2 linked regions of the Arabidopsis thaliana genome follow. The protein of the gene in region 1 purifies or fractionates together with the protein of each later gene. This does not show direct contact. Each region holds a gene or a part of one and is shown on either strand. Other genes may lie near its edges.

Region 1 (15,333 bases):
TCAATTCTATCTGTATTATGTAATTTCTTCATCGAGGTGTTGTTGTTGGCTAAATACTTCTTGTTTTCCTTTAGTTTTTCCTTTAAACTTAGTTAACTTATTGTATTTGCATGCTAAATTCTTACAAACTTGAAAATGATGTATCAGAAGTTTTTGAAAGAAAATCTTGGTTAAAAGTTATACAGTTGCACAATTGGGAGTTTTGACTTTGACTGATCTTGCTCTCGACGTTGGATTCCATTCCAAATTTTCGTAGAACCAAAGTAGAATTTTCTGGCAGCTTTTGTTTCCCCTTTTTTGGTTGATCTTTATCCTCCACTCGAGGAAAAAAACAACACAATAGAAAAATTAGCAACAAATTATTAGGTAGGAATAGGATAGATTAGTGTGTTTACGTCAAACTTAGGAATGATATTCACGAGTATGTAAAGTTTTGGTTGTTTCTGCATGTAAACTTTATGTAGATTTCTACCGTCTATCAGGAAATAGTTAAATTTGTTTAGATGAATAATGTAAAAGACGGTAGAAAACAAAAGAAACGTAACTACGTAAATGAAATGTGTTTAGATGAATAACGTAATACAATGAAAGTATGAAACTAAGATATAATATAATGTAAAGAAACAGCTCAAAATTTGAGATTAGTTGGTTTGACCGTGGTCCGGACTTAGGGACATGTTCGGCTCATTAAAGCTCAAAGATTCTTGTCTCCTCTTACATTGATTTCTTCACTATATACTACTAGTATCTTCAAGAAATGAATACAGTATCAAATTCAACGAAAATTAATCTATACAAATATATTATGCGTGATGATAAAAAAAAAAAAAGGGGAAAATAACATGAATGTACACCAAAGTTAAATCTGAAATTTGATTGAGAAAAAAAAAACCAGAATAGAAGTTGTGTCATTTTAGTTAGAATCATGAGACATGGTGTCTAGTGATTTTACATTTGTCGTACATGTTTGGACAAAATGGGATGGTCCCTAATAATTTGACAACACATACAAAATAAATACAGATGGTCCCTAATCCCTTCAATGTAAATTAACCATATTTCTACGAAACACCAGTGTTATGATAATTTCTTTTGGACAAGAATGTACTACTTCATTGCTAATTACCCAATTTCTCCTTATGAAACTAGTTAATAAAATCAAAGAGGAGCACACAATTAAACAGTAATTAACAGTGACGCTAATCAGTCTCTATCGTTGTCACTCTTTAACAACCATACCCTTAAACCTCATTTAAATCTCTCTATCTCTCTGCAAAACAAAACAAAACAAAAACAAGAAGTGTTCTCTTCTTCTCTTAAGCCCAAGCATTTGATGAGCTTTGTAGTGTTGTCCTCTTCGTTTGTTTTCTGATATATACCGATCTAATTTACAACTTTAGCATTTTGGTTCAATTTTGAATTGTGGTGAGGATTGAGATCGGAAGTAATGGAGGAAAGAGGATTTATGTCACCTTCATTGGCTATATCGGCTTCTTATCGAGAAGGAGGAAGCAAAGGCATGTCACGACGGAGGTCAATGAGACCAAGCTTTGACGCGGATAACGAGTTCATGAACCTTCTCCATGGCTCAGATCCCGTGAGAATTGAGTTAAATCGGCTGGAGAATGAAGTCAGAGGTACGAGAAATGTGATTTTGTTGATGATTTGACAATGGAATTTGAGATTGGTTTTTGGATTAGTACTTTGCTTCTTGTGTTTGAAACAATGACTTGGTTATACAGATAAGGATAGGGAATTATCTGAAGGACAAGCTGAAATCAAAGCTTTGAGGTTGTCTGAACGACAAAGAGAGAAGGCTGTTGAAGAGGTTTATGCCCTTACACTTTAAGCTTCCATTACATAAACAAAGTATTTAGCTTGAGTGGCATTGTGATATTCCTATTTATAGAATATGTAGTCATGTAGCCTGAGCTTGGTTTTACTTGTTTGGAATTATGTCATATAAAGTTTCTCTCTTTACACTCTCTGTGTACTGACTTCTCTGCTATTTTATTTGAGTGCTGAAGCTCACTGAAGAGTTGGGAAAGATGGCGGAAAAACTCAAACTTATTGAAAATCTTCTTGAGAGTAAAGTATGCTTCTAATATCTCCTTTGTTCTTTGATCGCTTATTTATATTGATTCTATATATAATGATGTTGTATGTTGTCACAGAACCTTGAAATCAAGAAGATAAATGAAGAAAAGAAGGCTTCCATGGCAGCTCAGTTTGCAGCAGAAGCTTCTCTTCGTAGGGTTCATGCTGCTCAAAAGGATGATGACATGCCTCCAATTGAAGCTATTCTTGCCCCTTTAGAAGCTGAACTGAAACTTTCGAGACAAGAAGTATTTTCCTTCCTTTGAACCAGAATTACCTTTGTATAGCTCGATTCAACAACTTACGGGACATTTAACAGCTTTCTCATATGGGTTTACATGTTTTGATTGGTAGATTGCTAAACTTCAAGACGACAATAAATCATTGGACCGCCTAACCAAATCAAAGGAAGCAGCTTTGCTTGACGCTGAAAGGACAGTTCAGTCTGCATTGGCAAAGGCTTCAATGGTTGATGATCTCCAGAATAAGAACCAAGAATTGATGAAACAGATTGAAATTTGTCAGGTATGTCTATATCATTTCTTTTACATATTGGAACACCAGAATAGGGTATCTCTTCCTTTTCTTACCACTGTGGTGGCCTTATTTGTTGATACATTGGTTAAAATAGGAAGAGAATAGAATTATAGACAAGATGCACAGACAGAAGGTTGCAGAAGTTGAAAAGCTTATGCAGAGTGTTCGGGAATTAGAAGAAGCTGTTCTTGCTGGTGGTGCAGCCGCAAACGCAGTGAGAGATTACCAAAGGAAATTCCAAGAAATGAATGTATATTTCATATGCTTCTATAGTACCTCAATAACTTACTGTTTTTCTTGTTAGTGTTTTGGTCTCGTACTGATCGTAATTGTGGTGTTTTGTGTTTTCCTTAGGAAGAGAGGAAAATCCTTGAACGGGAATTGGCCCGTGCGAAGGTAAATGCAAACAGAGTTGCTACTGTTGTAGCTAACGAATGGAAAGATTCTAATGACAAAGTGATGCCTGTAAGGCAGTGGCTTGAAGAACGTAGATTTTTGCAGGTCATTGCTGATACATATTAATATTTAAATTCTCTTGCTGCTTCAAATTGTGATTCATATTCACGGAGATTAACTTATACTATTGCCACCACCGTTATGTTTGGACAGGGAGAAATGCAACAACTACGCGACAAACTTGCCATAGCTGACCGAGCTGCAAAATCTGAAGCTCAGCTGAAGGTAGAATCATAGCTGCGGGACACCATCTTATTTTTTTTAATCTCCTAACTGAGGAATTGCTGCTTTTACTTATTTTTAGGAGAAATTTTTACTGCGGCTTAGAGTGTTAGAAGAGAGTTTAAAGGGGCCTACGAGCAGCAGCAGCAGAGGCACATCTGTTGGTAGAAGTTCGAGCAACGGGCCTACTCGAAGACAATCCCTTGGTGGAGCTGAAACAAGTCCAAAAATTACATCAAATGGCTCGCTGATTAAGAGAACACCAAGTTCTCAGTTGAGATCATTGACTGCTAGTGCAAGCACTGTATTGAAGCATGCGAAAGGAACATCAAGATCATTTGATGGGGGCACCAGATCATTGGATAGAAGCAAAGTGCTAATAAATGGACCGAGATCGAATTTTCCTTTGAACCACAAGTCTTCTGAAGGAACTAGCAGAGGCGAATCGCCTAGCTCAATAAAAGGGGAAGAAGAATCAGCTGACAAGGCAACAAATAATGATAGCGTCCCAGGTGTCTTGTACGATCTGCTGCAGAAAGAGGTCATAACATTAAGAAAAGCGGCGCATGAAAAAGATCAGAGCCTGAGAGACAAGGACGAAGCGATTGAGGTTTGCTAGTGTTTGGCCTTTTTTCCTGTTCTTTGCCGCCTTTATATGAAATGTTGTATAATATAAGTCTAAAGATATGGGTTGTGTATATTTAGATGTTGGCCAAGAAGGTTGAAACATTAACAAAGGCGATGGACGTTGAGGCAAAGAAGATGCGAAGAGAAGTAGCTGTAATGGGGAAAGAAGTTGCTGCAATGCGTGTTGTTGATAAAGGACAACAAGATAGTAAGACCAGACGTCTCTCGGTCTCAAAGGGAAACACAGCTCAGCTACTTTCTGGAAGGTATTAATGTATTATCATATCAACTACAATAAGCTTTATTATTACCTTTAGATGTCATTATTGTTTATGTATTTTATCATTTGGTAGAGTGTCTGGACGAATCGGGATGACGAGGAGCACACAGTGACAAACTGATTCGATCAATCACTGGTTGGTCTCTGTGGCTTGCCTTAAGGTTCTTGTACCAAATTGAGAGAAGGGATTCAAAAGCCGAAAGAGATAATCGTGTAAAGTACCTGATTGATTCGATGTGTGTTTCTCTAAAGCATTCCAACATTCAAGGTAAAGGGAGACATTGACTTCACTTAGCTGATATATTTCTTACTCTGTTGCGTTATGTATAGTAGTACTGCAGTAGTAGAGGTAGGGTTGTTTTGTTCAACATTTTAAGCTTTTTTACTCTCTTGTTTTGTGTGTGTCACTCTCTCCTCTTAGTTAATTTTCTTATTAACCTCGATTATATTGGTAGCCTAATTTTTTATCTTTAAAAGAACTCTTCTTGGTGTTCAAAAAAAGAACTGGTAAAACCCAAAAAAGCTATATACAAAAAGAGAGAGAGATAGAGTTAATGAACACCACATGAGTTATAAGAACACCATCATTGAGATTTGAGAAGGATATTTACAACATTTGTAGTCAGACTTTATTGGGAAAAAAGTACATTTGTAATGTAATCAGGTCTTAATGATAATTAGTAGTTTTGACTTTTGAGTAAAAAAGAAAGAAAAAAAGAACATAACCACATGAATTGAACCGGTTCCGTATCATTGACCGGTACGCGTTTAGCGACGTGGGATTTGATATATTTTCACTTTCGGTCCAAAAGTATTATATATTTGAGCAAGTAGTCCTACTTTTTTGGTTTGAAATTGTTTTTCCCATTACCGTTCTCTGCTCCATTGGGTTCTTTCCTCTTTTCTCCCAGATTCATCAATCCCTCCTGCTACCGCGAGAGAGTAACAACTCACCGGACGTTTCAAATCCATCCTCCGATAACTATATTCGTTTCGTTAGATCTAGATCTGAGCGTCGGTGAGAGATTTTCTGGATCTGTGATACGTTCCAGGAAACATGGCGACGATGAAAAGTTTGATAGGTCTGATAAACAAAATCCAGAGGGCGTGTACTGTCCTCGGAGATCATGGCGGTGAAGGAATGTCGCTTTGGGAAGCTCTCCCAACCGTCGCTGTCGTTGGTGGCCAGGTTTGATCTCTTTCTATTGAATATACACATTTCTACGTTAAGATCCGATCTCACTTCTCGCCTCTTCAATCTCCACGTTTCTGATTTATCATTTTTGTTTGGTTGATATTGTGGATCAGAGTTCCGGAAAATCTTCAGTTCTAGAAAGTGTTGTGGGAAGAGATTTTCTGCCTCGTGGATCTGGTAATTTTACCTCTCGTTAAGCAATTTTGTCTAGTGTCTTCGATGTTTGGAATTGAAATTAGGTTTTCGGAATTTCGTGCTCTTATTAGTTGCTTCGATTTCAAACAATTTAGCGAAGCTCTGTGATCTTGAGAGCATTACATGAACATTTTGACTACTTCGAAAAACATGAGACTGAAGAAGGAGACCATCTAAATTGATACCATTTGATTTTATCAGGTATCGTTACAAGGAGGCCATTGGTGTTGCAACTTCATAAGACTGAAGACGGGACAACTGAGTACGCTGAGTTTCTTCATGCTCCTAAGAAGAGATTTGCTGATTTTGGTAGTTTGATTGAATCTTTCACGCTAATTGCTGGAAACAGTGAAATCGACAAAGGCATGTCGGGCTAATCTAAGTGTTATTCTCTTTTCAGCTGCTGTGCGGAAAGAAATTGAGGATGAAACTGATCGTATTACTGGGAAGTCAAAACAAATCTCAAACATTCCAATTCAGCTGAGCATATATTCTCCTAATGGTTTGTGCTTAAGACCACATTTCCTGTTATGCATTCCTATTGTAGTTAGTTCAGAAACCAACACCGTAAATTTCCTATATTATTGATAGTTTGATACCAGCTGTAATGAGATAACGAGTAGTACAATTAGATTTGAAGATTCCAATTTTGCTAACCTCTTCCATGTGACTTTGATTTCTCACTCTACTCTTTTCTCTACAGTTGTTAATCTGACGCTCATAGATCTTCCGGGTTTGACCAAGGTCGCTGTAGGTAAGAGTTTACTATTTTTTATCCAGTAGCTTAGCTTGTGCTTAAACTAGTTACTGATATGAATCTTGTGCTTAAACTAGTCACTGATATGAATATTATTCGTGTAGATGGACAACCGGAAAGTATTGTCCAAGACATTGAAAATATGGTCCGGTCTTATGTTGAAAAGGTCAGTCTTGCTCTAAGCTATTACTGAGACGGTTTCGGCAATCTTTTCAACTTTTCCAACCAAGTTGAACAGAAGAATGCATTTGATCATCATCACTCACTATAATGTCAACTCTGGAAGCTTATCCATAAAATCTTTTAACTGCAGCCAAATTGCATCATATTGGCTATTTCTCCAGCAAATCAAGATATTGCTACCTCAGATGCTATAAAACTTGCTAGAGAAGTTGATCCTACAGGTACGACCTAAATGTAGTTTCCTAATAACTGGTAAGTAGTGACTTTTTACACTCCACAACATTTTCTTAACCTTCTAATATATTTCTGTAGGCGAAAGGACTTTTGGTGTTGCAACCAAGCTTGATATCATGGATAAAGGAACAGATTGTCTAGATGTAAGCGTCTTTCTTGATTTCTGCACCTTGGGGTGTCAACTAATTCTGTTACTTGTTTAATATATTGTGACACCTCCTCTACCTATTTGATGAAGGTTCTTGAGGGAAGGTCATACCGTTTGCAACATCCCTGGGTTGGAATTGTGAATCGTTCACAAGCTGATATTAATAAGAGAGTCGATATGATTGCTGCACGTAGAAAAGAGCAAGAATATTTTGAAACAAGCCCTGAATACGGGCACTTAGCCAGTAGAATGGGATCAGAATATCTAGCAAAACTCTTGTCTCAGGTACCCTTTGGATTTACTTGCACAGATCTCGTTTAAATTAAAGCTTGAATGCTTAGCTTTGACTTTCTTCCTTCTTTGTTTTCCTCTCTATTAGCACTTAGAGACTGTTATCAGGCAGAAAATCCCCAGTATTGTTGCTTTGATCAACAAAAGCATCGATGAGATAAATGCAGAACTTGATAGGATTGGGAGACCCATTGCAGTAGATTCAGGAGTAAGATTTTAAACCATTAAGTAATTGGAATTCAGAGTTGCATCAGAATCGTATGGTTAGTCACTCACTAAATATATGATTTCAGGCCCAACTTTACACAATTTTGGAACTCTGCCGGGCATTTGATCGTGTCTTTAAGGAGCACTTGGATGGAGGGTAAGTGATTTAGTTATTCTACTTCTTATTCGTAAAGCTTATAACTTCTTGTTGGTGTACTATTACATTGCGACTGTGATGATCAACTTGGAGTCTATGAATTTTTTTAAGAGATAGTGTCGTTTCCAGAGTAATGTGCTGCTCTATAATGAATTTTGCTTACCTTCTAGTCAGTTTCCAGACTAAGGATGTGCAGTTTTAGTAAAAAAATTACATCAATGACCTTTTCATAGATGTTTGCCAGAAAATGCTTCACATAATTTCACAATGTACGTCCGGTAAAGTTGGTCTTCTGACAGTCATTATGTTGTTTGTATCAGACGACCTGGTGGAGACCGAATTTATGGAGTTTTCGACCATCAATTACCAGCAGCCTTAAAGAAACTTCCCTTTGATCGACATCTGTCTACCAAAAATGTTCAGAAGGTTGTTTCAGAAGCAGATGGTTATCAGCCGCATCTTATTGCTCCTGAACAAGGATACAGAAGGCTCATTGATGGATCCATAAGCTATTTCAAAGGACCAGCTGAAGCCACTGTCGATGCAGTATGCTTCCAAAATTTATTAGATTGCATTACTTTTGAGACTTAAGTTTTAGTAAATTGACTATATTCTTGATTGCTGTTTGATATTTCCTAGGTGCATTTCGTATTGAAGGAGCTGGTCAGAAAGTCAATTTCAGAAACAGAGGTAAGAACTGACAAGATGCCTTTGGTTTTGAGAACTCTTCCTAGCTCTTTACGCTCTGTTTTAGTCCTAACATACCATTGCTGTTTTTTTCAGGAACTGAAGCGTTTCCCGACTCTAGCAAGCGATATAGCAGCTGCTGCAAATGAAGCTCTTGAAAGATTCAGAGACGAAAGCAGGAAAACGGTTTTGCGTCTGGTGGATATGGAATCTAGCTACCTCACGGTTGAGTTCTTCAGGAAACTCCATCTTGAACCCGAGAAAGAGAAACCAAACCCAAGGAATGCCCCAGCACCAAACGCAGACCCCTACTCCGATAATCACTTCAGAAAGATCGGTACGTGTCTCTCTCGCCTCCCTTTACTTAGAAATGATACATTATCAAGTCTTTGTTTGTTGACTTTGGATAATTCAGGATCCAACGTGAGTGCATACATAAACATGGTCTGCGACACATTGAGAAACTCTCTTCCCAAAGCTGTCGTTTACTGCCAAGTTAGAGAAGCTAAGAGATCGCTTCTCAACTTCTTCTACGCTCAAGTTGGCAGGAAAGAGGTAAACTATATTATTACCCTTTGGATTATTTTGTTACCTTGTAGAAAATGCCATGCCCAAATCGAGAATAAATTTAAGAAAAATGATGGTGCAGAAGGAGAAGCTGGGTGCTATGTTGGACGAAGACCCACAGCTGATGGAACGAAGAGGAACCTTAGCTAAACGGCTAGAGCTTTACAAACAAGCTAGAGACGACATCGATGCAGTGGCTTGGAAGTAAGGGGGTTTGCTAAGACATATTCTTTATATTGTTAATTTCTTTGTTCGTGTGGGCACACTGCATTATAATAGATATGTTTGGAGTTCTAACTTCCAGTCTACACAAACATACACGCGACTACTCATGTTTTCTTGGGTCGCTAATTTCTATCACAACTTTCCCACTTTTTTTTGGTGTGTATCTTCGATTCTTGAATACTGGTTTTTAGAACAGTTAAGACATATTTTGAAGTCGCACTCTTTACATTAGACAAAAAGGAAGCTAATCTTTGATTTTTATTCAATTGGTCTCCACTTGTGCCATTACTGTATTTGGATCCAGTTCAAGTTTAAAAACAAATAGATGACAAAGAAGCTAATCTTTCTTGAAAATTTAATGTACATCTCATGTAGATAGAACAACTTATTAACCTAAAGGACTTTTCTTCTGTCACAAACAATAAAAATCGTTAGAACTGAATTTCCAATGCTCAATTAAGAACAAGCAGCTAAATGTATAACCGTTAACAAAGCCTGTTTCACATGGTTGATCAGAAAAATGATTAAAAGAACTTTAAGTAAGCCTTAAGATTCGGGATTTAGGAGTTAAAAAGCAATGTAATCATCACAGCTGTTTTAAATCGTCAAAGTAGTAGAAACAAAAGTCAAAGAGAGAGCTTCAACTTCCAGCTGCCCATTAATTGCAGCGAGTTGGGGAAAGGCTTATTGAGTTATTTCTATCCACTTACCGTAGAGACAAGTACCCAATACTTTGTCTGTTTCTTCTTCCTGTGGCTTCTGGGTCTTTGTCAACATCAAAGCTCTTTACTTTTTCAACTTACTTTATCGTGCGTCTGTACGGACCACAAAAGGCTCTCTCTTTATTTCTCTGTGAGATTTTTTTAGGATCTGAGAGAGCCAAAGATCATGGAGGAAAGCCAAGAACTTGCCTTGACCCAGTTGAGAAAATCGGTCGAGAAACTCTCTTCTTCTACTGAGGTAATCTAATTCGACGCTTTAGTTTCATTACAGTTTACAAAGCTTGCATCTTTTGGCCGTTTCATGAGTTTCACTGACAATGTCTCGTTAGAAAATGAGAAATATCTGTCATTTGATTTTGATGGGTTTTATATGGGCTACACTGTTAAAACTCTGTCTCCATTCTCGTCATAGTGGTTTGTCTGATTAGGTTTGAGCCTCCCATCAGAAACCCTAACAGTAGAGACAGTTTAGTAAAAGTGAATCCATAATCAGAAAATCTCATCAATGGTTTTTGTTGTTGTTGTTTCCTCTGAAAAGGGATATGACAAACCAACATTGATGAGGTTCCTGGTGGCAAGATCAATGGACCCAGTCAAGGCAGCAAAGATGTTTGTAGATTGGCAAAAATGGAGAGCCTCCATGGTTCCTCCAACTGGATTCATCCCTGAGTCAGAAGTGCAGGATGAATTGGAATTCAGAAAGGTCTGTCTTCAGGGTCCGACCAAATCCGGACACCCATTGGTGCTTGTCATAACCTCTAAGCATTTTGCTTCTAAGGATCCAGCTAACTTCAAGAGTAATCACCTCTCACTTGCTTCTGACCTTTACTTTCGTTGGAAATAATCTGTCCCTTGACTTTCAGTGACTTTTGTATTCATAGAACTGATCAGCTTCTTTCCTGGTTCTCTAATTATTGAGTAGTTTCATTTGACTTCAAATGAATGAAGTTTTTTGAGTCCATCTATGTGTTTTCCTTGAGTTGATTCTTGCGATAATTATCTATGAACTAATCTTTTATCTGTTTGATGTTGCAGAGTTTGTTGTTTATGCGCTAGACAAAACAATCGCAAGGTGTTTACACATTATTGAAACCAAAACACTTCAATAATCTTCCGGTTAGTTGGTTGTGAGACAAGCTTTTTGGTTTTTATGTTTCAGTGGCAACAATGGCAAAGAAGTTGGAGGTGAGAAATTAGTAGCCGTTATTGATCTGGCAAACATTACATACAAGAACCTTGATGCTCGTGGATTGATCACTGGCTTTCAATTCTTACAAGTAAGCATCTCCCTTCTTCCTGAAACAATATAGTTATCACACAAAAAGAAGTCCTGTCTATTAAATTTGGAAAATGTTTCTCTAGTCTTACTACCCGGAACGCCTTGCAAAATGCTACATTTTGCATATGCCCGGATTCTTCGTGACCGTTTGGAAATTCGTCTGCCGTTTTCTAGAGAAAGCAACTCAGGAAAAGGTTTGATCTTTAATCTCCTCTTGATGTATCTATCTCTAATGGTTCTTGAGCAACGAATCACATAAATTATGATTTTGCTGTTGCATAGATTGTGATAGTTACGGATGGAGAAGAACAGAGAAAATTCGAGGAGGAGATCGGAGCAGATGCTTTACCGGAAGAGTACGGTGGCCGAGCTAAGCTCACAGCAATCCAAGATGTTCTTCTTCCTCAGGCTGCTCCAGTAACTCTAACAAACAATAATGTTTAGCTCTTTATTTTTGGAAGCATTAACCTGAATATTTGTAATGGTCAGAACATAACTAGTGGTACATCTCTAAATTTCCAAAAGAAGCAATGAAAACATGAGAAAGTAATGCGAATATATTCAATCTGGTGACTGAGTGCTCGCTCTTGCTTATCTTTTCTTATTCACATCATAAGTAAGCTGTAAAGCAGGATTGATCAACAGACCAGACTAACTTCTAGAAACTTAATGTCCTCTTGTTGTACGTGTAAGATTCCAAAGTTAGCTATAGATGTCTTTGAGCTAAAAACCAGAATCACGAGCTCTTAAATATGATCCCTAAGCCTTGTTATATGACAAAAGACTTTTCAACAACTTAATATTTCCAAAAGAAGAAATGATGAAACACATGAGAAAGTTGTGTGAATATACTCAATCTGGTGAATGAGCAGTTTCAAACATCATGCTGTTTCTGTATCTTAAATTAAACAATCTTGCTGTTTTGAATTTTGAAGATGTTGGTCAATTCACTAACACACTTTAAAGTCCCAAGCTTTTTTCTATCAGCCGCCTCCAAAATCTCTCTATCTCTCTGTCTCTCACTTCTTCTTCCTCACGGCGGCGACAATGGCGACGTTCACTCATCAAACCCCACAAACCCATTTCCTCTCTCGCCTTCCTCTCAGAGCTAAACCTAGACACTTCTCCGCAAGAGTCAAAATGTCTCTCCAAGAATCTGCGCCTTCACTCGCCGTCGTTGGCGTTACCGGAGCCGTCGGACAAGAATTCCTCTCCGTCTTATCCGATCGAGACTTCCCTTATAGCTCCATCAAGATGCTTGCATCGAAACGCTCCGCAGGGAAGCGTGTTGCCTTCGATGGCCATGAATACACGGTGGAGGAGCTCACGGCGGATAGCTTCAACGGTGTAGACATAGCTTTGTTCAGTGCTGGTGGATCCATAAGCAAAGAGTTTGGTCCTCTGGCGGCGGAGAAAGGAACCATTGTTGTTGATAATAGCTCGGCTTTTAGAATGGTTGATGGAGTTCCGCTTGTGATTCCTGAAGTGAATCCAGAAGCAATGAAAGGGATCAAAGTTGGAATGGGCAAAGGGGCTTTGATTGCAAACCCTAATTGCTCCACCATTATCTGTTTGATGGCTGTTACGCCTCTTCATCATCACGCAAAGGTTCGATTTTTATTCTGAAATCTGCTTAGTCCAAAATTTTGAAGGGTAGTTAGAGAATCAATGGAAGCTTTAGACTTTAGTGCTCTGAATAATGTTTGATTGGCTATAATAGGTGAAGAGAATGGTGGTTAGTACATATCAAGCAGCTAGTGGTGCTGGTGCTGCAGCTATGGAAGAGCTTGTTCAGCAGACTCGTGAGGTTTTGTTTCTATTTCAGCCTTCTTTGATTGAATTGTTTAATGATTGTGCTGAGTTGTGATTCTGCTTCTTCGTCTTCTTTGCATTGGTGTGTTTTCTTAGGTTTTAGAGGGTAAACCTCCGACTTGTAACATCTTCGGGCAGCAGGTGAGTGCTTAATTTGCTTATAGTTTGTATTTCGAATGTGCTGATTATGAAATCCCTTTTTGAGTAATGTGATGGTTTTGTATGTTGTTCTGCAGTATGCATTTAACTTGTTTTCACATAATGCTCCTATTCTTGACAACGGTTACAACGAAGAGGAAATGAAACTTGTGAAGGAGACAAGGAAGATCTGGGTGAGTGGTTACTTAAGTGCTATTTTGTGTTCATTTCACTTTGATCTTTTGTTCAAAAATTTTAGATATCTCACACCAATTTCTTGCCCTTCACAGAATGACACAGAAGTAAAAGTAACAGCAACGTGTATACGTGTTCCAGTTATGCGTGCTCATGCAGAGAGTGTGAATCTTCAGTTTGAGAATCCTCTTGATGAGGTAATAACACACGTCGAACCCGATTTCTACTGATTCTGTGTTGTTGTGTTACCTTATGATTTCACTCACTGATATGACAATTTGAATCATAATTTGAAGTTTTAAACCACATTCTATGGTTTTAATTTAACTCAAGCCATTGAAAAATGTGGAGCAGCATGTAATCAGCATAAGTAGGCTTGGATAGTTCTTGATGCACTTGCAGAGTTAAACCCTGAAGTTGTTCTTTGGACTTGCTCTGGTAGCATGTATTGTGATTCTTGTTGCGCAATTAAAAGAATCTTATGATCAAGTTCTTATTCAGGTTATAACGGTTTTTCTTACTGTATCATAACAGAACACAGCAAGGGAGATACTGAAGAAAGCACCTGGAGTTTATATAATAGATGACCGTGCTTCAAATACTTTCCCTACTCCACTCGATGTCTCTAACAAAGACGATGTAGCGGTTGGTAGGATAAGGCGAGACGTGTCTCAAGATGGCAATTTCGGGTAAAGTCTCACTCTTTTCTACTGAATTTGAAGCAAATGTCTTTGCGATATGCCTAAAAGGATATAACTTTGTGAATTCAGGCTGGACATATTCGTTTGTGGAGACCAAATACGCAAAGGAGCTGCTCTGAATGCTGTTCAGATCGCTGAGATGCTTCTCTGAATTTGAACCCGCTCTCACTTTGCTTCTTATGAAATTCTTGACAAAGAGATCACTGTATTATTAGATTTGAGCCAAGAATTTGTCTCATTTTTTGTTCTGTGAGTTTTCTATTTTGACCAATTTTGTTACTTTGATTCATAAAGTTGTCTCTTAAATCTGAACTCATCATGCACACGCTTGAACCTCTTGGCAATTTTCCGGTTCGAATCTGTACCGACTTGGTTGATCTCACCGAAGACAACCGGGCTCCACAATTATTTGACACACTGAAGACTGAACCAGTGGGGGCCCACTTTATTGATAGTTATAGCAAATATTTACTTGTTTAGTGGATATTATCAAATCCTAAAATCACTCCTTCGTTACTAAGACTAGGGAGGAGACCCGCGTTGTTTTTGGTTTTGTTTTTGGTTTTGTTAGTATGCACTAACCACTTCGATTTTTTTTACTGATCTTTGATTAAAAAGGGAATATCTTTGTTATTTGCTAATCTTATCTTTTGATTTCTACATTTTTGTAATCTATGTATAGTTTTACATTTTTTTTTCATGTTGTTACCGGTTATATGCTAGAATTTATAGGATAATAGACCAAACTTACTATCTTGTAAGAATATTTTTTAGAGTTATATATATCTAAGCAATGCATTTGTTACATTGGTCTTGTTTTTATATATTTTATTTTAAATTAAAAATACAATGGAAATCTCTCTCTCTCTCGCATTAAGCGGTTGCTGCAGAGGATAGCGAAGAACAGAGACTAACGACGAAGTTATTTTACACATCGTTGCCATTGTTAATTTTGGCCCAATATGAACCCGCCCATTTGTTTTTTCTCTTTGTGTCTCTGTTAAAATCTTAGAAACTACTCTTTGGTTTGGGGAAGATTTCACTTTTCAACGTCTCTTCGCGAATTAGCCAAAAAGAGTTGGATTATAACAATATTAACATTGAAAGTACGATATGCTTAGATAATTAATTAAAAGTTTGATTTTATTGTAAATATAAATTTCCTTATAACAGCAAGGAATGACACACATTAAAGCAAAAGAAATAAGAGTAATAACTTTTACTTTGTTTTGAGTCTTTGTGATAGTTCACTGCCACAAACATTATAGGGAATTTTTTAAAAACAGTTTCCAACTCTCTAGTTGTTTTGTTTAAGTTATACCATAAAAATAAACTTAAACATTTGTTTGTAGAAAAAACATTTCTCACATGTGTTGTCCAAATTTCTTGGATGGCACACGTCGGGGGGTTTCATGTTGCGA
Region 2 (16,392 bases), 1.7 Mb from region 1:
ACGGATCAAGACCAAGAGATGATAACTCTCTACCCATTCTCTTCCTTGTAAACTTCTTATCCTTGTCAAACTTTCTTGGAACAGCTGCTCTGTTTTGTGCATTGCTCTTCTTAAGTCTACTCTCTTCAATAAGCAAAGCTTTCTTCTTACGAATAGCAGCCAAATCATTCTTCTCCTTCTCTGTAAGTTCTTCGCCTTCAATCTCAAAACCAACTTCTTCTTCCTCTGCCTTCCTAAGACTTTCTTCACTTGTCAATTCCTCAAGCCTATTCAAGATGTCTGAATCAACAAAATCAGCAACATTATGACAGTCACAGATCTCAGGTATTATATCATCCTTCCATTCTTCTTTAGCCAAAATGTAGTTCTTCTTTAGACTAGCAGAATAAACCCCAGCTCCACCATTTTCATCTTCCAAATCCTTCTCGGTCTTTCGCTTCTCCTTTTCACCAGCTACCTGAGGTATACAAGGGAGCCTTTCTTGGTCATCACGACTCTTCGGCATCGCCACATGGAACCTGTTCAAGTGATCACCGATCTTTTTCGATTTCATCTTCGCCGCTACCCTCTGATCTAACAGCCTCTGTCAAGCAGCATTCCTCACTGACATCACACCTTCTTCAGTCAAAGTACTCATCTCCAAAATCACTGCTTCTTCACTTGCTCCCATTTCAGTCTTCATAGCTTCATCTTTCATCTCTTCAATAAGTTTCCTATCTTCTTCAGATAAGTTCTCCATAGGCATCAAATCAGTCTTGTTGCAGACAATCACCAACGGTTTGTTCTTGAACACAGACTTTATGTTGTGAAAAAGAGAAGCCTGCTGAGCAATGGTGTAACCACAAGAACCCGAAATATCAAGAAAGAACAAAACAGCAGCTCGGATATGAGCCAACGCGGTGATGCTACACAATTCAATGATATTACGGTCTTCAATTTCCCTATCCAAAAGCCCCGGTGTATCAATCACCTGATACCTCAAACACTTGTAATCAGTATGACCAAGAAAGAGTGACTTTGTTGTGAAAGCATATGGCTGAACAGCTACGTCAGCTCTTGTAACTTTGTTCATAAAAGAACTCTTTCCCACATTAGGACATCCACAGATCAAGAGAGTTCGAGTGTTTGGATCAATCGAAGGAAGCCTTGCAATGTGTTGCCTAACCTGTTCAAGATAAGCCAAACTAGGACCAATACCTTTCATAACAGTACACATACGCCCAAGAGCAGCCACTTTTAAGCACTTGCATCGGTACAGAGAATCACCATGCTTCAATAGCTTCACATAATCCATGGCGATTTTGCTGATCTTGTTCTTCGCAGTATTGACTTGACCAAGAGCGAGCTTGTAGTGATCTTTATTGTAAAGCACATGAAGAAGATCTTCATAGAAGGGTTGAATTTCCTTGAGGCGAGGAAACTCGTCGATAATGGCAGAGAGCTTCTCGTTAAAGTTTGATTCTGTGAACTTCACTTTCCGCATGTAGAAGCTACGGAGTTTGCAAATCCTGTCACCCTTGTGGACAACAGTTGGTGTCTGCCGCTGAGTGCGGGAAAGAACGATATCAACAAACTGTTTTCCGTTTGGCACAACTGTTATCTTCTTGAAATTATATTTCACCATTGTTTTTGCTTCTTTAATCTGCACGAAATTGATACACTTAGTGACATTAGAGAGACCAAAAGGACAACAAGTAGAGACGATGGTCATTTGGTCCAAACAGATTCTAAAACTTGGATTCCTAATCTTAAAACGTTAACTAAATCAATTTCGATTGCTAATCTTATAACAATGCTATTATAGCTCGACAAATTCTAGCTGCCGTGCATAACTATATAACAAGAACAAGTTAGGTTTATCAATCTAACTTCGAGATCCACACAAACCTTCGTCAATGAAGACAAGAGATAGCTCACCTTACTAAAAGGTGAATGAGATCGAGACGGTGGAGTAGCCTATAACAGACAGAGACAGAGAACGTTAATTTGTCTGCCCTAATTTAAAGCAGACACGTTAATTAGGGCTAGAAGGGTTCCTTTCCCAAGTTTCGCGAAAATGAAAAATAACCCTCAAATTTCAAAACTATTGCAAGAACATCTATTAAAATTTAACAAAAACACCATATGTTCAGGAAAATCTCATTTAAACCCTGGTGTTTAACAAAGTTAAAATTACTTATAAGAAATTGTATGTTACTAATTTGGTTCGAGGGATAATCCGATGCCGTTTGGCTAATTTTAGGCTTTCTGAATAAAGAAAATACTTGCGGTGCATTTGCAACTACGTACTACCGCATACGACAACTTTACCAATAAACCCCAAAATTTAGTGATTTCATCAACTAGCCCTGAAAGTATTCTCTCAAGGCTTAAACAATGGAAGTAGTCTATGAAACTTCGATTTTATAAATTTAGTAATTTACCCAAACAGTTCAGATTCATAAGAATATCAGATACAAAATTCATTCTATAACTACTACAGCATAGCGTGCTCAAAAAATGGATGCCAAGAAAAGTTGAATAAGAAATAAAACAAAAATTCAAACAGACATTTGACTCATGAGACCAAACTCTTTTTTAGCTGCCAACACATGTGTGTGATAATATCTATCTACAAAGACCAAAAAACAGTAGTACAATCATCCAATCACTGTCTTAAACTAGAAAAAATAAGAGTAACGTAGTCCCAGAAAACGGGACACAATGCGCTTCCAGGGTTTTTTCTTCAGGTTCTAATACCTATAAGCTGAACCTGTAGGCGGTGGTGCTGGTGGCAACCGATTGGGGGTGGTGCGGCGGTTGCTACCAGACCCTGGTGATGCTGCATCTCCGTTCTGCGCAGGGTCACTGTAACGGCGGCTGTGACCACCGGAACCGTACTTTGACAATGAGTCTGAGGGTCCATTAGCAGCGGAGTTGAAGGCATTCATCCAGTCGTCCCCTGAAGAACCTCCACTTGCTCTTGGGCTACTCTCTGTAGGACAAGTGATACCAAGATTAAAAGATTTATAAACCTAAGTTTCATTGAAGATCTTTCAGATGGTATTTAAGAAACCGTATCAATCCAAACCAAGCAAGCAGAAGAACTGTTATCATGTTTCGAATATAATAAGGCGGATGAATTTACCAGTGCCACTGTTGTCCGAATAACTTGAAGCAGCTGCTGCTCGGTTGTCGTGAATGCTAAGCTGCCTCGTGAGTTTAGAAAGAAGAGAGGATTGTTTCTGGTAACGCTCTCTTCGTCTTTTGACATTCTGATCCTCTTGTATCAATGACTCAATCCTTTCATTGCCTATTGCACTAAAGATCAAATACAGGAGAGCACAAGTAAGCACACCACAACTGAAACGAAACAAGGCACAGGGAACGAAAAGATATTGAACCTTATAGAACTGTAGAGTTGATTCAGCATGTCTTCCTTTGCTTTCTCTACTTGACAAAGAACAACAGCCTGTTCATGGTCAATTCACATCGCTTAGTAGCATGACCGAGGAATCTCTGTAAGAGAAAAGAGATGGACAAGAAAATTTAGAGCTTTCGAGCTTTTGCATAAGGATAGTTCACCTTTGGAACATTGGCTGCAAGGCTGTTAAGAACAGCTTCAACGTAACCCCGTACTTCTTGGGACATCCACCGGAGCTCCTCTTCTGGATCGATGGGTTTCCTAACCATCTTATCCTGAAATACAGACAAGGAAAAAAACGTAAGTCTCAGAAAATATTATAAACAATAAAAACCTTAAATGTCAAACATAACTTATGTCAAGTTTAAAAGTAGTATCATGCATACCCCATAAACTGAGCCTTCTATAGGAAAAATGTTTCAATAATAAAAATTCGACAATGTTCAATAAAACATAAATAGCTTTGTTTGCTCTTCCAACAGTTTCAAACCTTCCGAAGTGAAGTTTCAAACTTTCTTCATAGTGATAATAAGTAATCCATAAGACTAGTGAACGTATCTAACATAGATTTAAGGAAGAGGAAATGTAAGAAAAGCTGCCCATGAGTGACTCACAAGTGAACCTTCTGAAAGACTCTGCCTCATGGAAACACTGCCCACTTGGCCTCCACGAGCCTGGATAACCTTTTGCAACTTATTAATCCACTCGTTCTTGTCGACTACACTCTCAGCCTTAAGCACAAGGGCATTGTGAGCTGCAACATAATAGTTTGAGGAAAACTCATAAAAGTGCGAATAGAAGATTAAGAAGTTTGAATTCTTATAATGATTGATTTATGTACCTTTGAGTACAGTCTTATAGGGAACCTTGCAGGTTATTTTAAACACAAGGCCTGGTCCTTTTGAATCAGGTCCATTTGCCTTCTTGTCCTTCGAGCTCTTTGACTTTTCTACTTCGTCCTCGGGGATTTCTTCAATAGTGCATTCCTGAGTGGATTAATAAAGTTGGAGGAAGTATAATTAGAAAAACATGGAAAAAATGTTATCTATAGAGTATCCAAATTTCTCATCGATAATAACAGAACTATTAAATATTTGAAGCATAAGCTTCAAAATACACAAGTAATTGTCACTCTCCAAGAAGGAAACAGTGTGGGAGAAAATAACAAGGTGAATACGAACTATATTCTTCTCTAATTCTTTTTTCCATGTCATATCTAATTATAGTTCACCTTTGGCAGAAAATAAAGCATAGGAAGAGAATGGTACCTCCAAAGTTATCGTGCCCCGAAAGTTTCTTTCTTCTTGCTTTTTGGTATAGCCAAGCTAGAAAAAGGTAAACAGTAAAGTCAGTAAGTTCTCAACAACTGAAGAATATACGTTTCAAAATGCTGACCTTTCCAGTTTTCTCATTCAGAACAAACCATCGCCTACTCCACCCATTTGTTTTTGCACTTTTCTTCATTAAGTACCCTAAATGAAAAGAGTAAGTATTTGTTATCTACCTTGGAAGTTAGTTTTGTCAAGTTAGTTTTAAGTGATAAAGAAGAAAAAGACATGAAGAAATCATGCACTTGGACTAAGAGCAAAGCTTTGCAGCAATAAAATCATGCAACGTAAGGAAAGCAAATCGGGAGTGAAAAAGCAGAATGAAACTTTTTAGACAGTAACTGGGTAGATGTATATTAGAATAACAACCTGCTGTTATCTCCCCCTCAGGTCCAGCAGTTTTCAGACCAGAGACCTCCGGCGTCTCTTTATCTTGCGGACTAGGTTTGTCTTTCATTGATTTTAAGCTACCACCAGCTGTTGGCCCATCTGGCTGAGGACTAGTAGCCTGATAAACATATATGTAGAGAATTTCCACATTATATATTTTCATGTAAAACGATAAAAAAAAAAAAAAAACATTTTTCACTACGTATATCCAAATTGATACAGAATGAACACACACCCTGCTTAAAAGGGACTGCTCTGCATCTTGTCCCTTCTTAGAAGATCGCCCTTTCAGCTCTTCCTCGCGACGTTGTCTTTCCATTCTGATGGAGTCAATACAGTGCATCGTCAGAAAGAGAAATAATTTTCAGTCATGAACCATTGAAAATAAAAACAAAAATTGCAAAGAAAGACAAGCCAAAATACCTCCTTTGCACAAGACGGATAAAATGTTGAGGTGGTACAAAAGCGCGTTCCATATCAACTAGTGCAACCACCATTTTCTTGGCTTCATTCTTGAAACCATCAAGTGCTGCACTTGCTATAGCTACAACCTGGTTGATGATTAGTCAGAAAGGAATAACTGTTACCGAAATGATAAAATATTACTGAATAAAGCACCAAAAAATCATTATTACCTCTCGCTTGAAAGGAGGATATCTCCCAAGTCCAGGTGTAGCATTTGCAGAAGCTGAAACTATGTCAACAAGAACTCGGTGAACCTAATCAAAAGTTAAGACCATGTTAGCTCAACACGTAAATAAGACAGAAGCTGGATGCATGAGTTTTAAAGTAGGAACCAAAAAATAGCTACATCTACGGTAAGGGATATTAACTTACTAAGGCTTATAAACCAGAAAACTTGACAGAACTCTAAATAACAGTTCGAAGAATTAAAGTGAGACAAGCCATAGCCAGTTCACAATGCAGTAAATTTCTAAAATTCAATCCTACTGCATGTACCTAAAAAAACATGTAAACAAGCACACCTCATCAACACAAAGGCGTGCCGGGTCTTTAGCCAACTCAAGGACAATCTTTATCAACGATCTCAACCCTTTCTCTGGAGATATAAGATAAGGTTGATAACCATCTGCCTCCAAAACAACCTGAAAATCAAAGATATTTTGACAAATCAAGTCTCAAAACTTGTCTCGTGCAGAAACTTAGGACAGAAGAAGACACCCACCCTTTTAACATTGTTCAGGTCAAAATGTCTATCCAATGGAAGCTGCTTGATACGGTTGGGGAAATTTCCTTCAAAACTTGCAACAACTTTCCAACCACTTCCCTGAACAAGAATCAAAAAGTTTTGAGAAAAACATTTGCCAAGCTCCAAAAGGGACTTCAGCCCATAAACTGAACACAGACAAGTACAAAAACTCTATATCAAACACTCAGTTGGCTTATACACATATTATAAACATCCACTATCAGATTCATGAGATTCCCAACAATATAATGTGCTCTTACCAAGCGTAGGCTAGCAAGAGACTTTCCACTACACTAGTACCAAATCTGAAATGGCTGATTGCTAATATTTGAAGAGTTCTTCTCTCTCACTATATTCTTGAATTTTCGACTAAATCTAGTTAACTTTTGTAAGAATGTACTTACTTCACCACCAGCCAAGTGCAGAAGAAACTTGTCTTCAAACTCACGGCAAAGCTCCAAAGCTATAGCCCTTGTACCTTCAGCACTGTTAACTAGTTGTTCACCAAGCCTCGCTAGCTCATCCTGCACTATTTGAGACTTACCCTGGAGCCTGTACAAAGAATTTGAAAGCCATATGCGTTCAAGCAACCAATGTCATATGCCAACACCATAATAAAAATCATGAAGAAAGCACATATATGGAGAGAAGCAATACCCAGACAGGACACTTGGAAGCCTGAGCTTCATTCTGCTACGAATCTGGCTAGCAAGGGTATCCACCAACGCAATTCTGCCAAGCTTGCTTTGTGGAGCCCCAGTCAAAATGGACTTAAGACTTTCACTCTCAGCACGCCAAGCAGTTTCTAAGGAGTTCTCACCACTTCCAGACTGTGCTGACGCAATTGAAACGGATTGGCCAATAACAGCAACCCATGGAATGTCAGTTGTTTTTGGAGGTCCTTGATTTGAAAGAAGAGCCTGAACAGCTGCAAGGGCTTTCGAGTTCTCTGCTGCCTGGTCAATTTTTCCAATAATGCCTATTGTCCTAGTACCTATAAGTAGGGAGGAGTGATGTTAGCTAATGAGTATTTTAAGCAAACTGAAGTGATAATAGGTAGGTAAATCAACAGTTCTTATCAGGTATACAAATAATAAACAATATTAAGATAAGACAGATCGGAAATACAGATGTACTCACTCTCTGGATCATACTCCTTTGCAATCTTCAGGGCTCGGGATGATGAAATTTCAGATGCCTGGCTAGCAGGCACTATAACCAGCAGTATGGCATCATTGTGTTGCGCGTATTCAGCAATCTTGCAAAGAGACCCAAGAAACAAACAACAATTTCAAAAGGATAAACATGATAATGAATCTATATTATCACTTCAGTAGGAAACCGATAAAAATAGTCAAAATCTTTTGTTTCGTGGTTGTCAGGCAAGTTAAGGATATGACAATGGCATTAAGTAGTTCCAAGCCTCACCATTGACTCGTCCACAATTCTCTGGTCCAGTCCAGGCAGATCAACTAATTTCAATGGTGGAGCTGCAATGTAAAGGGTAAACGTAACAGGTTATGATGGTCAAAGAAAATTTAATACTACGAAACTGTCGGTCATATGTCATATGTCATAACTCATGTTCAAAAGAGTGTGTACTGTTTATGTTAAAGCTCCGTTAGATATTTAATCTGATACCCACCAAAGTAAAGCTAGAAGCTCTAAACTAGTGTACTAGATAGTATATAAGGATAGCAAGATATTACAGCTGACCAGTTCACGGGTATCAAAGATAAATTCATACACCCAACTTAGGTTAGCTAAGGATGTGCTATTTGAAGAGTAGATATAGGCTTGCCACTTATGATTGTGCAAGTAAAAAGGGGCTTACCTGTGCTGGTACGAAGTTTTAAGTTTATTTCATCACGATTCTTCCCTGAGGCTCCTTTGCTAAGTCTATCTTGCAGAGAATGTCTCAAAGCACCTAAAATATACCCATGTAGAACACAATGGAGATATTATGAGAAGACTGATCGAAATTTTTTTATCATAAATGCAGAAAGAGCCTCACATAGCATTGCTAAATTGCATATGTTCATAGATAGAGACTTACTTGCAGAAACTTGTTGAGATTTATTGTCGATTTGCAAGATAATTGCCTTGCTGCTCAAAGAACTCTCCCTGCTCAATTCAATTATTATAGGAGCTCGTGTAGCACCATTCTCACCCGTCGGCTGTGTATAGTAAGTGTAGCAGACACAACAGAGGTCAGTATTAGTATAAGAAAAGGAGTAAGCCAATAATAACCATAGACTCAATGTACAACTTACCAGCACTGGATGCCCAATTAGACTGTTTAGAACTGCAGACTTTCCAGCTCCCTGGTTCAGTATGCAAAAAGAGATAAGTAACAAATAACAAAATACATCAGCCTTCTCCGGCACGAGTCGCTCCTCATGTAACCATATATCCACTAATAAAGAGAATCCCAACAAAACTAGCTATAAACGATGAGTGTGTCCTAGCAAAATTCGATAAAAACCTAATCTAGATCCAGAAGATCCACGATATGGCAATCCAACATACACTCGAACACAGAATAAAACCAGCACGAGCCTAAAGAGAGGAAAATCGAGGAGCGTGGAGTGAGAGCGAGGAACTCACCACATTTCCCAAGGCAACGACGTTGAGGAAAGTGGCAGGGCGCTTGGAAGAAGAGGTTTCGTCGGGATCTTCGTCGGCGAGGAGAGACGCCGCCTGCTTCATCGAATCTGAGAGCTGAGACAACTCATCGATCGCCTCCATCGCGACTAGCAAAAGCCCTCCGCGAATCGAGATCGAGTAACCGATTCAAAGTGAAGAGATCTGGAGGAAGAAGGAAGCCACTCGATTAGATCTGAGCAGACCGGAACCGAAATCGGCGGCAATAGGCGGGGTCTTTCCCGGTGAGACGATGGGCCGGAATTTGGAATCCGGTCGCGATGGTGTTAAGCTAAGATTTTTCGTTGGGGATTTCGTAAGGGAAGGCAGAAATGAGCGAAGACGAGGTCATAAAGAGGACGTACGTAAGATTTCACAATTACACGGGACAAGATTCAAATTTCAAAAGACTTACAAAAATCATATCTTTCTAATTTTTTTCTGATCGGTCTCAAGTGCTTCTTCTTTTTCTTACTTAAAAAAAAAAAAAAAAAAACAATGTGATGTGAAATACACATAAAAAAATAAAAAAAAATTATCAGTTCATTTAACAATTTATCATCTATTAGATCCATTCATATAACATTAGATGATGTTGGAATCCCACATTACTAAATCAATGTGAAGGTTCAAATAAAAATGTAATCAAATGTTGTTGTGGATCTCGTTGTTGTTCATATAGTTCTCGCGACATAATTTACCTCAAGGGAAGGCAAACAAAAAATCTATTCACAAGGTGTAACTATTTTCGTAAACTATTATAGTTTTTTTTTGGACAAACAACCCCTACTAAAATCTATTTGGTGTATGTTTTTTGAATAATTGATCCTACCAACCTAATTTTTTTGAACTATATGTGTTTTTTGTTGCCTGAATCTCATCTTCCCTTCTTTAGAACTGTTGTCTATCATCATACCTTCCAACATCTTAGGACTAGTTTGGCAATGTTGACAATTCTTTGTGATGTATGACAAGTATAATTATAAGGAAAAAATAAATAAACATTGGACATAAAAATCAGAAATTTCCAAGCTAACTATATGAAATTTCTAGGCACATTTCTTGGTTCTTTTGATACCATTTCTTTTTCCTTTTGGACATCTGGATATCATATTGTTTGTTTGGGATACTAGTTCTTCCCAAGTTTTTAATCTTAATTAGCTGCTTTGGATCCTTAATAGAAAAATAAACATTTCATATATTCCGGAAATTAGTATAGCCATCGGTTTTAGATTTTCTGGTGATTAAGATATAAGAAGATATTTTTTCAAATATAATAATGAAAAAACAAAATCTACAAATCATTAAAAAGGAAAAAAAAAATCAAAATTAGAATACAATACATTGTCTCAATACTATAACATAACCAAAAGAAGCATCAATAAATTTTACTAATAGTTAATAAGTACAGAAAAAATCGAAAAATTCTAGAAATGTTAAAAGTAATTTTTTTAAAAATAGTAAGGATATAGAAATTAGATAATCAATAAGTTTGACTACTGGATATCTAGAATTATTTCTATAAAAAAAAAAGTGAAATGTCGGACCAAAGAGTTGACGAGCACTAAACCACGTCACAATTAAACGTGGGCCCTCCGGCCCAATAACTTAAAACCAATAGATTATTCCCATCTGGCAAGATCTGCGGACTTTGAACTCGTTATGCTTTTCGACGTGGAGTTTTAAACTCAATTAATCTAATTAAATTAAGCATAACATTCCAATTAATTTTGTTCTTTTATATATATAAGATCAAAATCAACCACACACACACATAGATTTCAACTGGAAGAAACAAAAGACCAGATTTGTTTATGTTTCTTCTTCTTCTTCTTCCTCTCTGCATGAAATTCAGTTTCTGATCTGTTTCAGTCATCGTTTCTCACTTTCCTCGAAGATTTCCACAGATCCAATTTCCATTTATCCACTTACCTTTTTCGATTTCGTTTGATCCTTGGATTTAATTATATGTTACAAATTTAGGAAATTTCTCGAGGAGATTGAATGCAATGGATTTGTGCTTGAAACAATCAGATTCTCTTTGAATCATAAGAATGTTTCCCTGAAACTTTATTTTTGGGGAACAGAGATCATCACTGTGTTGTTGTTTGGGTAGACAAGTTTTGAGTTTCTCGAACAATGGCGAGAGGAGGGAAAGAGGAAGGAGAAAAACACATAGGGTTACTAAAGCTGGCGCAAACGCTGTCGTTTTTGCTAATTTTCATGGCTGGAATCATCATCGGTCTCGCCGCAAGTTCTCACATCGATCGCTACTTCAATTCTTTGCCGAGGATGTTCTCATCAACCACTAACCTCCAATCGATTCCTTTTTCGACTCCTGATTACTCCAATTGCACAATCATCCACCGAGACTGCACAGGTAACGACGACAACGAGAGCGACGACGGAGGAGTCAAGGCGGAGAAACCAAAGGTTCGAGATTGTTGGAGCATTGATGGGTTTGTTCGGCCAGAGAATCTGAGTCATGGAATGACTGATGATGAGTTGTTCTGGAGAGCTTCGATGGTTCCGGTGAAGGAAGAGTATCCGTACGATAGGGTTCCGAAAGTGGCGTTTATGTTTCTGACGAGAGGGCCTTTACCTATGCTTCCGCTTTGGGAGAAGTTTTTTAAAGGCAATGAAAAGTACTTGTCCGTTTATGTTCATACGCCTCCTGGATACGACATGAATGTCTCTCGTGATTCTCCCTTTTACGACCGCCAGATCCCCAGCCAGGTACGTTTTGATGCAGGACAGTGAACTTTTTGTGTCTTGCTTGTGTTCTTCAGTGGATCAGAACAAAACAAATACTTAGTTTCACCAGTGACTTAATCTTGTATACAAGAACAGAGTAATAGATAAGTAGATAAGAAATATAGTCATTCTGGATCATGGAGATCTAGTTCTCTAGAGGAACAACATGTAGATCTAATCGGCATGATGGAATCCAAGTTACACTGGCGCGTGACTATTTGAGATTGTTTATAGGATTTGAACCTTTTAATTGTTTCTTCCACTGTCAGCTACATCTGTTTCAAGGTTGTGTATTAGATGAAGCTTTGTTACTAATTTTGCTATTATGTGATTATTTGGAACATAGCTGGTTTTAGTTTAATGATCGGGAACAGCTTTTATTATAGAGGTGATCTGCTTAGCTGTGATCTGCTTAGCTGTGAACTAGGAAACTATAAAAGACTAATTCATAGACACATTATATAAGCTTCTCTTGTTGATTTTTACACCTTTTATTGTAGTAATCCCTTTAATTTTCTCTGTATGTCACAATGATCCTGGTAATTGCATAACGCTTTGTTTGGTTCTTCAACTTGGTCATCTGATGAATCATGGATGGTCTGTGTCATTGTATGCTAGATCTACTTGATAAAAAAATCTAAAGAATTCTGTCTGGTTCTGATGGGTTTTTTATACTTGAATTTTTTAGAGAGTTGAATGGGGATCCCCACTATTGACAGACGCAGAGAAGCGTCTTCTAGCCAATGCATTGCTGGACTTCTCAAATGAGCGTTTTGTTCTTCTCTCAGAGAGCTGTGTCCCAGTTTACAACTTCTCAACTGTCTACACTTACCTAATAAACTCTGCTTACAGTTTTGTGGACTCTTATGATGAGCCAACACGTTATGGCCGTGGCCGTTATAGCCGCAAGATGCTCCCGGATATCAAACTCCATCACTGGCGCAAAGGGTCTCAGTGGTTTGAAGTAAACCGTAAAATCGCCATCTACATCATCTCAGACTCGAAATACTACTCATTGTTCAAACAATTCTGCAGACCAGCTTGTTACCCAGACGAGCATTACATCCCTACTTTCTTGAACATGTTTCACGGTTCAATGAACGCAAATAGAAGCGTGACATGGGTTGATTGGTCCATAGGCGGTCCCCATCCAGCTACATATGCTGCAGCTAATATCACAGAAGGGTTTCTCCAATCTATAAGGAAAAACGAGACGGATTGTCTTTACAATGAAGAGCCAACTTCGTTATGCTTCCTTTTTGCTCGCAAGTTCTCTCCTTCTGCCTTAGCTCCTCTTATGAATTTGAGCTCTACTGTCCTGGGGTTTTGAGAAAAAACAAACTGATTCATTTCTCCTCTTCTTTCTTCTTTTATAGGGATGAGATGAGATTCTTCTACGAGATATATAATATACATAACATAGGACTCTTTTTCTTTCTTATATAGTTTTATTCTTTTGGTTATAATCTCTTCATTATTTGGGGTTTTATAGAGATGATCGTAATGGTCAAGCCTTTTGTATGTAAGAGTTTTGCTTCTGCCGACCTGCAGAGCTAATCTAGTTGTAGATTTACGAATATATTATTCATTTTGATCACTTTTTGGAAGAAATGGAATTTAATGTTTTGATCGAATTACTGATTTTGAATTCCATTACTCTTTAGAAGCCATTGGCTTCAAAAGAACCATACATACAAGTGAAGAAGCAAGGGCAACGAACGTAGTAGATTATGATGTTGATCCTAAAGAAATAACTACTAGAGTTTGCAAAAAATAGGAACCACAAAGCAAAAGCCAAATTAACTATGAGGAGAATGGTGGTGCAGAAGAAATAGCGAGTTTGTCAAACTAGTTCCTCAACTCCACTACCTTTTTTTCTTGTGTCTCTTGGCACTCATGGGAAGGCCCTGGCTCCTGTTGTTGAGGAAGATGACTGTCCACAGAGTTTGACCACGGTGTCTGATTAGCCACCTCTCCTGGCACGGGATTTAACCACTGTGACTGCTGATGGCTAGCTGTCTGATTAGACCACTGTTGCTGCGCTGTCCACCCTGACTGCTGGCCAGCTGTCTGGTTAGCCCACTGCTGTTGCTGGCCGGTTGTCTGATTTCCCCACCCTTGTTGCTGGCCGGTTGTCTGATTAGCCCATGGTTGCTGCTGGCTAGGAGTCTGATTAGCCCATGATTGCTGATGACCAGTGTTCTGATTAGCCCACGGTTGCTGGTGACCATTATTCTGATTAGCCCATTGTTGCTGCTGGCCAGGCGTTTGATTAGCCCACTGTTGCTGCTGGCCAGGCGTCTGATTAGCCAATTGTTGCTGCTGACCAGGCGTTTGATTAGCCCACTGTTGCTGCTGACCAGGCGTCTGATTAGCCCAAGGTTGCTGCTGGCCAGCTGTCTGATTAGTCCATGATTGCTGATGACCTGAAGGACTTGACCACCCCGATTGCTGAGACCAAGATTGCTGCTGTTGATATCCCGGTGCCTGTCTCGACCATGACGGTGGCTGTTGCCCTGCCGTCTGATTCGACCACGATTGTTGCTGCTGGTTATCAGACGTGTTGGACCAAGAGGGATTCTGGCCATTATTAGCCTTGTAAGCTCCTCCTGCTGTTTGACCTGCAGTTCCATTGGCCCAACCTGAATTGGAATGCACCACTCCTTGGCTCGTCCATGGGGCCCTGTCTCTAGGCTGCTGCGGAGCTGCAGGTGTGGTTCCAAACACTGCGGGTACCCTAGGTGGAGTGTTACCAGACTGCCCAGCGTTTCTAACCGGCCGGGCAACAGAGTTCAAAATTTTCTCAATCTCCTCACGACGTCCTGCCTTCTCAAAAACCTCAATGATGAATTCCCGCAGCACAGTAGTAACCCCAACATTATGTCTAATCATCTCACCAACAATGTCCTTGGCTTGGTCAAGTGCATCACCATCACAAAGACCTCTAACCACCACATCATAAATGGAAGGATCTGGTTTTGGTTCCCTCTCTCCCATCTTAGTCAAAACTTCTGCAGATTCCGTGAGCTTACCATTCTTAATCAGCTCACCAAAGACTCTTGCACCGAAATCAGCAACCACCCGTAGATTCACATCAACCATCCTGTCCAACATCTTGACAGCATCGTCAATTCTCTCTGCCTTGAGATAAGCATCGATCATTGCTCTATGACTTGGAGCATCAGCAGGCAAAGATCTAGATACACCTTCAGCAAAGAACCTTTCAGCTTCTGTTAACATCCCTTGTTCACAGAATCTTGTTACTATGTTACAGTAACCTAAATAATCCATCACAAACGGTTTGGAGGTGACCTTACTTCCGACCTTCTTGAATGTATTAATAGCTTCACTAAACTCTCCCATCTTGAAACATTCATTGACCATTATACCAACCGTATCCGAATTCACCGAAAGGATATTCGGAGGAGCGTGATTATCCAACATCTCATTAAACAAAGCCCAAGCTTCATCCTTCTTACCAAACTTAAGAAACACTTCCAAAAGTACATTACCAGTCGGTGGATGCATTCTGAATTTCTTATCTAACAAAGACCTGTAAGACTCCATAGCTTCCTTATCGTTCCCTTTCTCAAACCAGTACTCCATAAAGGTAGCATTCACAATCCCATCATAAACAGTACACTTAGACTTCAATTCATCAAAGAACTCAACAGCCTTATCGAAATCACCAAGGTCCAAATATCCCCTAATCAGATTGTTGTACACCGTGGAATCCGCAGCTTGACCTTTGCTCAACATCTCCCTTAATAAACTCGCAGCATCTCCGATCCTTCCAGCTTGAACCAAACCTTTGGTCAAATGTCTATAAGTAACTGAGGATGGAGCAAAAGGAGCATTAGCCAATATGTGTCTGTACACTTCAAGGGCTTCGTCGACATTCCCTTCATCACAATGAGCGTTGATGATCTGATTGTATGAGACTACATTGGGGACGATGTTAGACTGCTTAAAGAAATACTGAAATAGAGAAATCGATTCACTGTAACGCTTGGCTCGGTACATAGCGGCGATGATGGCGTTACAGGTGAAGACAGTAGGTCGAGTATTGGAAAACACAGACTGGCGAGCGAGCTTTGATGCAGCGTCGAGATCTGATGCTCTGATCAGTGATTGGACTCTGTTGTGAAGGTTAAGCCTTTGGCCGACGAGAGCGGAAGTTGAATCCGGAAGCCGTGGCGCGTTGGGATCACGTTTTGGAGGAGGAGCTGAAGGATCGCGACGGAGAGCGTGGAGAGGAGGTTCAATTCGGAGACGACGTTTACGGCGGCGGCGCTCAGCAGCGGCTTCTTCGGCTGAAGAGAAGGCCATGGTACGATGCGGGATGGGTGGATAGGGAATTGGAGGGGTGTGATTCTGAGGAATCTGGAATTGGGAAGGATCATTTGGAATGGGATTAAGGTTTGGGTATTTCTCTGAATCCTGATTATTACCAGTGGTCGTCTCCGGATCTTCATTTGCCGGGGAAAGTGAGATGTTGTGGATGCGTTGGTGGAGGAACGAGATGGAAAGAGGGCTACGGGTAGTGGTAGTGGTTGTACAGAGACGGCGGAGGAGGTGACTGAGAGACATGGTGGAGGGAAAATGATTTAGGGTTTTAGAGGTTAGAGGAAGACGAAACCAATGACGATGGTGGGAGTAGAGAG

The links.
Region 2: the proteins of DL1C (region 1) and ADL6 fractionate together in Arabidopsis thaliana (co-fractionation; one large-scale study listed by BioGRID). This does not show direct contact.

The regions. Positions count from the first base shown.
Region 1 is NC_003070.9:5,101,414-5,116,746, reverse strand, and holds DL1C (DYNAMIN-like 1C), read left to right. Parts: upstream 1-5,000; 5' UTR 5,001-5,276; coding exon 5,277-5,408; intron 5,409-5,527; coding exon 5,528-5,591; intron 5,592-5,810; coding exon 5,811-5,918; intron 5,919-6,009; coding exon 6,010-6,111; intron 6,112-6,312; coding exon 6,313-6,363; intron 6,364-6,470; coding exon 6,471-6,532; intron 6,533-6,679; coding exon 6,680-6,770; intron 6,771-6,861; coding exon 6,862-6,926; intron 6,927-7,021; coding exon 7,022-7,216; intron 7,217-7,310; coding exon 7,311-7,430; intron 7,431-7,515; coding exon 7,516-7,586; intron 7,587-7,906; coding exon 7,907-8,132; intron 8,133-8,225; coding exon 8,226-8,276; intron 8,277-8,369; coding exon 8,370-8,610; intron 8,611-8,688; coding exon 8,689-8,828; intron 8,829-8,922; coding exon 8,923-9,048; 3' UTR 9,049-9,331; downstream 9,332-15,333. Other genes in the region: MAP70-4 (microtubule-associated proteins 70-4), read left to right, coding at 1,448-1,637, 1,743-1,828, 2,028-2,093, 2,175-2,345, 2,452-2,622, 2,729-2,884, 2,989-3,135, 3,244-3,315 and 3 more; AT1G14820 (Sec14p-like phosphatidylinositol transfer family protein), read left to right, coding at 9,954-10,025, 10,326-10,584, 10,823-10,859, 10,947-11,064, 11,150-11,260, 11,349-11,510; AT1G14810 (semialdehyde dehydrogenase family protein), read left to right, coding at 12,114-12,674, 12,787-12,873, 12,975-13,019, 13,115-13,210, 13,307-13,408, 13,746-13,900, 13,982-14,063; AT1G14800 (Nucleic acid-binding, OB-fold-like protein), read right to left, coding at 14,189-14,309. UniProt on the Arabidopsis thaliana protein: Microtubule-associated force-producing protein that is targeted to the growing edges of the cell plate during cytokinesis. Also plays a major role in plasma membrane maintenance during pollen maturation. Has a GTPase activity.
Region 2 is NC_003070.9:3,363,461-3,379,852, reverse strand, and holds ADL6 (dynamin-like protein 6), read right to left. Parts: upstream 9,452-16,392; 5' UTR 9,080-9,451; coding exon 8,939-9,079; intron 8,656-8,938; coding exon 8,605-8,655; intron 8,509-8,604; coding exon 8,388-8,508; intron 8,259-8,387; coding exon 8,166-8,258; intron 7,822-8,165; coding exon 7,760-7,821; intron 7,590-7,759; coding exon 7,472-7,589; intron 7,326-7,471; coding exon 6,989-7,325; intron 6,884-6,988; coding exon 6,736-6,883; intron 6,410-6,735; coding exon 6,308-6,409; intron 6,228-6,307; coding exon 6,108-6,227; intron 5,841-6,107; coding exon 5,757-5,840; intron 5,673-5,756; coding exon 5,545-5,672; intron 5,442-5,544; coding exon 5,357-5,441; intron 5,240-5,356; coding exon 5,101-5,239; intron 4,876-5,100; coding exon 4,799-4,875; intron 4,729-4,798; coding exon 4,672-4,728; intron 4,390-4,671; coding exon 4,245-4,389; intron 4,158-4,244; coding exon 4,018-4,157; intron 3,679-4,017; coding exon 3,565-3,678; intron 3,452-3,564; and 7 more. Other genes in the region: AT1G10300 (Nucleolar GTP-binding protein), read right to left, coding at 1-583, 605-1,711; AT1G10280 (Core-2/I-branching beta-1,6-N-acetylglucosaminyltransferase family protein), read left to right, coding at 11,114-11,710, 12,417-13,058; GRP23 (glutamine-rich protein 23), read right to left, coding at 13,577-16,318. UniProt on the Arabidopsis thaliana protein: Microtubule-associated force-producing protein involved in clathrin-mediated vesicle trafficking from the trans-Golgi network to the central vacuole. Able to bind and hydrolyze GTP. Binds specifically to phosphatidylinositol 3-phosphate (PtdIns3P).